Caenorhabditis elegans: one gene and its partner. The protein of the gene in region 1 purifies or fractionates together with the protein of each later gene. This does not show direct contact. Each region holds a gene or a part of one and is shown in the gene's direction. Other genes may lie near its edges. The genes, in order: Y57G11C.36 and gid-7.

Region 1 (3,926 bases):
TTTTTATGACAAAGTGATCAACCACAAAGTTATTTATCTTAATCTAAAGTACAACTTTGTAGTTGATTGTTTTTCACCAAAAAAATTGCTGGTCGAGATAAAGTTGTGTAAAGTTCGGCACCTTCATGCTTGTATTTTCTTCTTCTTTTTCTATTCATATCTCATCCAACCAATTTTTTGATAAAAAACGATGAACTGCAAAATTGTACTTTATATTAAGATAAACAACTTTGTAGTTGATCACTTTGTCATAAAAAATTATTACACGGAGATATCAGCATCCGAAGTGAGTGCGTTTTTTGAATTTTGAGGTTCTACTATACATCAGGTTTTAGTCTGAATTCGTGTTCAGAACATCTAAACTAGATAAACAACAAACATTGCATTTTTCTATAACATCTGATCAAATTTTGAAAAGTTTTCAAAAAAAGTTTTCAAAAAAAAATTTAGAAAATTTTTGTAAGGGGTACCCTTTGGATTTTTTTTTTCATAAATCGAAAAAAAAAACATTGAAACCTAAAAAACCAAATGTTTTTGACACTATCGCCAACAACATTCTAGTTGGACACATTTTATTGCAAAATCTCATTGCCAACTATCCTATGCTGAAACCTTTGAAATATGCTTATGCTCACGTTTTGAATATGCTTATGCTGATGTGCGCTTATGCTGACAAGAGCTCTCACGAGAATTTCGTGATCCAATAAACACATTGAAAGCTTATATCAGGACACTTGACGACGTAAAAGAAAACCGAACCTATCCAGATTTTTTTCTCGATTGGAAGATATCTAGTACTTGAAAATGTGTTCATAAAGATTGGAACTACTACAGAATAAGTCATTAAGTTATTTTCTGTTCCTATTGTTCAGTTTCTACAAGAAATCTATTCCACATTGACTTTTGTTGTGAATTTGAACCTTCCGTTGGCCTAAAATACTTCTGTAGAGCTACTTTTTTCGAGAGTATTCTTAAGTCTTCTACAGATTCAACTTGTTGGAAAATCGGGAACTTCTCTGATTCCTCGAAAATACTGTTGTTTAAAAAAAAATTTTGGCCTAAATTTTTTTTCCTCAAAAACACCTTCATTCTGGTATTTTCTAGGAGCATATGTCATCTGTATTGTTTAATAATTTTTTGCTTCAAAAGCTCTGTTTTTGTGCTTAAAACTCTCATTTTTGTCGATTTCCTAGTTTAAAACATGGAAATTAAAAACATTTCGGAGTACGGTACACATCGGTGTTTGCGTACCTTTGCGTATTGTGCATTTAATTCGACGACGTCCCCACACCTCGACAGTTAGACATTCTGTCTTTTATTCTGGGCGACTGGTGGTTGCCCTCCCTTGATTTTTCCTGCTATATTTTTGGATTCAAATTGTTTTTCCTAACAACGGTAAGTGTTTTGAATAAATATTTGATCACGATTTTTCCGAGAAATGTGGCAAAATAACGTCACAAACTTTATTTAAATACATGTTTTTAAATTTATAAGGCAACGAGCATCTTGAAATACACTTTGATTTTACGAACTACTTGAAAAGCCCCGGTAATTGTGATTTCTCTTCATTGTCTTCTTCCAGAACAAGATGCGATCCCAACCAGCCCAGCTTTACGATCTGTCAAAGAGAGCCATCGCCGCAAAGGAATCGTACAAGAAGATGTCTCCGAGCAAGAAAAAGGAGGAAAATGCGAAAAGCAACGCCAACAGAGCTTCGAGGAAAGGAAGTGGGCCGAAGAAGGCCAAGCCTTCTGATGCTGTGAAAAGGGCGAAGGAAGCCGAAAAACGAGAGAAGAAGAGGTTGAGCGACAAGAAACGATGGGAGGAATTAAATGATGCAGCGAAGGAGGTATGTTATAAACGTATTCAATTTATGATTGGAACCTAATTGCTTCAATTATTCAGGTCGTTCGAGCTAATGCACGAGAAGCGTCAGCAAGACGCAGGGCTGGTCGCGATGCAGGCCTGTCAGCGAATCCGAAACGCTCGCCACGATGGTCTCCGCAACCGGACCCTTCCACGCCATCATCCTCCACATCATCCTCCACATCATCCTCGCCGTCGTCGTCATCCACTCCACTTACCAGCACACAGAGACGCTCGCCACGATTCCACGCCGCCCCTTGATTGATTGATTGATCTTTCCCCCAACTAACATTTCATACTTACCCCGCTATCATGTAAAATATTTATTTCGCATCCCTCCCCCTTGCCATTAATCTTATAAAACAGGTGCCCCCTCTTGCAATTTACCATGTAATTATGAATAAATCATCACTGTCTCTTCGAATGGAAATTTGTTATAGAGCGCACTTGCATTTTTGCTATTTTCTGCGATTTTTTTCTGTTGAAAGAACATTCAGTTCAGATTTATTTTTATTTTTTGCGTTCTCGGCTTACGCATCAGCGAAAGTTTATGCACGAGTTGCGAAATTCTATGCAGGTGGTGCAGAATTCTATGCAAAAGGTGCGCAAGTCTATTCAGGAGTTTCATTTTATGGAGGATTTTTAACTTCACGTAGGAATTTTCACTTCATTTTCAATTTACGCCGAAGTTTCACTTCACACACTGAGAAAAAAGAACGACAGCTCACGTGAAGTGAAAAATATTTTTAATATTAAATATATTTTTTAATAAATGAGAGCAAAAGTTCACGCAGCGGCTGATGTGGTGTTTCCACGTGAGCTTGCCACGTCATCCATCCGCCCGTCTTTGATCCGATGACCTTCCCGGAAAAGTTCAGTTTTAAAACGTTTTTCGTTCAGTCGTGTGAGTTTTTTTTCTATTTTTTTTTGTTAATTTTTAATGTTTTTTTTTAATTTCAGAGTCATCTTCTGCCTGACAATGAGTTCTTCTGCCGATTCGCTTACGGACGGCATTCAACTTCTCCGCCTCGCCGAAAAGCATCAACACTCGTCTCTTCTGACTCCGCCACCGTCGGATGACTCTCAAAAGTCGCTGAAATCCACTTCAAACCACTCGGATCAGGAGATGTCGAAGAATCTGCACGATGTCGAAGCCTACATCGATGCGCTGAAAGGCGAGAAGCATCAGCTGGCTCAATACTCTAGCGGCGGCTTCAACCATGTCTTCAACTTGATCGACAAGGAGATTCAGAAAGTCGGAGGAAACGATGCTCATGATGGTGGCTCACAAATGAGTGGCGATGGTTCGATGCTCACGGAGACTATCATGGTTCCAGTAGAAAAGTTTCCCGATTACAACTTCGTTGGAAGACTTCTTGGACCACGTGGAACAACTGCAAAGCAGCTCGAAGTGACAACTGGTTGCCGCATCACAATCCTCGGAAGAACCAAGAGAGATGGATCAAGCTCGAATCCCGATGTCACTACAGGTCCATTGAGAGTGCAAATTTCTGTTCCAGCAGATATGCCGCAAGCTGCAAAACTCTTGAAAGGTGGCGTCGGTCACATTCAAGCAATTCTTGATGTACCAGTGAGTGAAAAATAATAAAAATATCGCTTTTATCCACCAATAATAAAAGTTTTCAGACTGACGGTAACGACGAGCTGAAGCGTCAACAATTGCTCATTCTTGCCAATATGAATGGTACCTACCAACCTCGCGGCTCAGCCACATCTCCAGGATCCGGCGACTATGGGCATCCGTTCCAGAGTTAGTATTTTTAAAATTCTCCTATATATATATAATTTTCCTGTATCTACCTGTATCCTTCATGTGTCTATCAATCACCCATTTCGTGTTCTATAATAATTATGATAATACTTTTTCGAAAATTCCCAAATAAAAACTTAAAAATATACATTACGTTTGTTACAGACCTGCTTCCATACGGTTATCGTCTGCCAGGCAACAGCCCAAGCCACCATGAGTCAAAGAACGACTGTTACAATCCAAAGTGTGCGATGATGAGAAGCTTTATTGAGCATTCCAACAACAATCA
Region 2 (3,926 bases), on another chromosome or scaffold:
TGGCAATTTCTCAACGAAAAATGTGTATAAACGAGAAAAAACAATAAAAACTATTTTCCGACCGTTGAGACACCAAAAATCAGAGATTTTAGCTAATTTTTGACGAAATGAATGTTTTTTTTCAGCGCCTCTCAATCCTACATGGGATGGATCAGCAACACGAGCCTCGACGAGAGACCGTGGAAGAAGATCGACGTTCGAGCCCTCTGCATGCTTCGTAAGATCGTCACCGACAAGACGGACAAGCGCGCGACAATCGAGCAGATCCAAGCGGATCCGTGGTATCAGCACAATTTCGGTCAAGTCGAGACACCGAACGGGCGGCCACTGAAACGCGCTCGCAACAATGATGAGAATATGTGAGTTTAATAGATGGCTTCGGCCATATCTGGTGTAGATTTACGGCGCGTTGCGTGTCGCGTCGCGGCTCGATTTTAGTTGCGAAAAATGCAATGAGGAAGGCCAGAACCCCATTTAAATTTAAAAAAAAATCACAATTTCATGTTAAAATGCTCAATATATTCCAGCACATGCACTCAACAAGCCGAATGCTCCGCGAAACGTCGTCACTTGGAGACTCCGAACGAGAAGAGCACTCTGGCGGAGAGACAGAATGCTTCGTTCTCCCAGCCGACAAAGACTGAGGATCTTCTGCTTACTCAGCATATTGATATGTCGCAGACCAACTCGGTTAGGAAAAAACCGTCAGAAATTGGCGGATTTTTAGCTAAAATCTCCAATTTTTCGGTCGTAAATTGGCATTTTTGATAATTTTAGGATGAAAATTCGCTAATGACACGGAAATGGTTGCAAAATTAGAGGTTTTTGCTAAATTTACTTTTTTTTTTGATTAAAAAACCCAGAATTTAGTTTAAATCCCCCTAAAATTTTCAGAATCTCCTCCAACGAATGGTGTGCCGTATGACACGTTTCTGCGTCGTCACCGACATCCGTTCCACGTACCAAAAAGTGGCTCGAGCCAGTGAGCACGCCGGCTTCGGCGTTCGTGAGACTGACGACTACCGTCTACTAGTCACGTGGCGCGAGGTTTCGATGATGGTCAGTCTGTACACGATGGGCGATATTCCCGACAAGCCACGTGTCATGGTAGATTTCCGCAGGTCTCGCGGTGACGGAATCCAGTTTAAGAAGATGTTCATGGACGTTAGAAACCGTATGCATGAGTGGATATGTACCGACGGAAACAACTGGCTCGCCAATCTTGGATATGTGCCAAGAAATCCGCAGATAGTTAATGGTGGTGGAGTCAATGTGGAGCACTCGGCGTCCTCGATCAATGTGGATGTCTAATTGTTTTTTTTTGTTTGTTCGTTTTTTGTTCCATCAGACTATTGAGATTTAAAGCACAATATTTATCATCATCATCATCACTTTAAACATCTCCCTATCCCATTAATTTTTAAATTTAACGTGAATTAACGCCGAATTACAAGCCTGTGAATGAATGTTTGTTTTTATCTCTGCGTCTAGAGTTTGTCCCCACTGCCTCATCATTCCTCCTCTTTCTCTTTTCCCTCTCTCACTTTTGCACAATATCTCGCTGCCCCTCGCCTCCGTTCGATAGTCGTCAGCTGAGAGAGTGTCTGCAGCAGACAAGACAATTCTTACTAAATAATACGCACGAATATATTCTTATGAATTTTTCTACCCCCTACTGTCATTAGGTCTCAACTGGAAAATCTGGAATTCGTTTTTGTAGTTTTCAAAATATCAGTGGCGCGTCGTTCCCACTTAACAACTCAAAGTGGTTCGGAAACCCATCGGAGAAGAGGCTGACGAGCCAGCCGTTGTCCCGGCCAAGCGACAGAGGTTTGCAATTTAAAAAAAGCTAAATATGACGATTTTGCGATACTGTACCAGGTCTCAACACGACAAATTTCTATAAAATTAATGCAAAAGTGTGTGTGCGCCTTTAAAGAGTACTGTAATTTCAAACTTCTGTGGTTACGGAATTTTCTTATCGATTTTTCTTAGTTTTCCGATAAAATTTCGTATTTAAATTCTTTTTTTAAACACCAAAATTTAACAAATGATGAGAACAATTGAGAGAAATCGATATTACGGGAACACAAAATGCTGAGAATGCGTACTGCGCAACATATTTAACGCGCAAAATATCTCGTAGCGAAAACTACAGTAATTCTTTATATGACTACTGTAGCGCGTGTGTCGATTTACGGGCTCGATTCTCGAAACTGATTCAGGCCCGTAAATCGATACAAGCGCTACAGTACTCCTTAAAGGCGCACACTCATTTGTATTTATTGTAATGCCACAAGATTTTGTCATTCATTCTTAAAGGCGCATCGATTCACTCAGATGGGTCTCGGCGCGAAAAAAAAATTTTTTGGAGTTTTTGCGTTTTCTTTCATTTTTCTGTTAAAGCCGACAAGCAGGAAAAGCACTTATGAAATTTGTCTAAACATTTTACGAAAATTTAAAAAAAAAACGACAAAACTCGCTAAAAACCAAGAAATTTCATTGATAAACGCAAAAAAAAAAACTTTTAAAAAACTCTTTTCGCGCCGAGACCCATCTGAATAAATCTGGGTGCCTTTAAGCGGACATGTCGACTTCTAGCGAAATTACGATAACAAAACCTTCAATTTCAATCGATTTTTTGTAGTTTTTACGATTGCAAACATATCAATTTTTGCAAATCGAAAATTCCGCGGCACCTAAAGTTTTAGACTACAGTACTCTTTAAAGGCGCATACCTTTTGACAATAAACAAAACATTGTCGCGTCGAGACCAGCTACCGTATTCTTGGCGCGCGAAAATTGGCAAAAATTTCAAAAAAAAATTCCAGAATGACTGTCGACGAGCAACTTGACGATGTTGGTCGTAAGGGTAAGAAGATGTCTGTAGCACAAAGATTGCAGAATCATGCGGTAAGGGTCTCACAGCGACACGTGGTGTCAGGTTGTCCCGTTATGGTTTGATCTACAAAAAATGCGGGAATTTTTTGCCCCAAAAAATGTGACGTCAGCACGTTCTTAACCATGCGAAATCAGTTGAGAAATATGCGTCTCAACTCCCGCATTTTTTGTAGATCTACGTAGATCAAGCCGAAATGATACTTTTTGACATCATGTTCCGCGATTGAAATGCAACAAAAAAATTCACTTTTTCCAGCAACTATCCCCCAGATCTCAAGATGATCCCGAAGAAACCGAGTCGGTGATTCGAAAGGAAATCGCGTTGGGAAAATATGATAAAGCAACAATTCGAATTATTGCACAATTTTTGGATAATATCGGCTTGACGTAAGTTTTTGACCAGTTTCGGGTCTCGGCACGACATTTTTTATGTTGAATGAAAACGGGTGTGCGCCTTTAAAGTTTCTTTATCGATTTTTCAGAGTTTTTTGTAAAAAAAGCACACGTGGTGTCAGAGTGTCTCATTTCGGCTTGACGCAGAGTTCTCAACTGATTTCGCATGATTAATACCGTGCTGACATCACATTTTTTTGGGCAAAAAATCCCGCATTTTTTGTAGACCAAACCGTAACGGGACAGCCTCGCACCACGTGGAATTTTGGAATTTTGAAATTACGAAATTTTAAGGCGCATGTCTTTTTTCAATAAACAAAAAATGTCGTGTCGAGACCGGCTACCGTATTTTTGACCCATTTTTTCAGAAGCTCTGTTGAAACTCTCGTTGAAGAGACGGGCTTCACAATTGAAACAACGTCGGGTGCCAGAGTCCGTGCGAACATTCTCAAAGGAAACTACGACGCGGCGATTCAAATTCTCGAAACTTCAAATGATCACATTACTGAGGAGACCGCAAAGCATGGATCATATATTGTTAAATGCTTCAAACTAGCTGACCTAGTTCGGAAAGGAAGGGTTCGTGCTAGACTTGGCACATGGTGTCAGAGTACGGTTTGATCTACAAAAAA

The links.
Region 2: the proteins of Y57G11C.36 (region 1) and gid-7 fractionate together in Caenorhabditis elegans (co-fractionation; one large-scale study listed by BioGRID). This does not show direct contact.

Annotation. Positions count from the first base shown.
Region 1 is NC_003282.8:14,771,956-14,775,881, reverse strand, and holds the start of Y57G11C.36 (K Homology domain-containing protein), read left to right. Parts: upstream 1-2,127; 5' UTR 2,128-2,770; intron 2,771-2,826; 5' UTR 2,827-2,845; coding exon 2,846-3,457; intron 3,458-3,513; coding exon 3,514-3,637; intron 3,638-3,802; coding exon 3,803-3,926. Other genes in the region: Y57G11C.51 (DUF3362 domain-containing protein), read left to right, coding at 1,589-1,849, 1,906-2,127.
Region 2 is NC_003283.11:3,754,703-3,758,628, reverse strand, and holds the start of gid-7 (CTLH domain-containing protein), read left to right. Parts: upstream 1-1,554; 5' UTR 1,555-1,830; intron 1,831-2,831; 5' UTR 2,832-2,832; coding exon 2,833-2,913; intron 2,914-3,157; coding exon 3,158-3,288; intron 3,289-3,662; coding exon 3,663-3,873; intron 3,874-3,926. Other genes in the region: Serine/threonine-protein kinase chk-1, read left to right, coding at 126-359, 528-690, 895-1,311.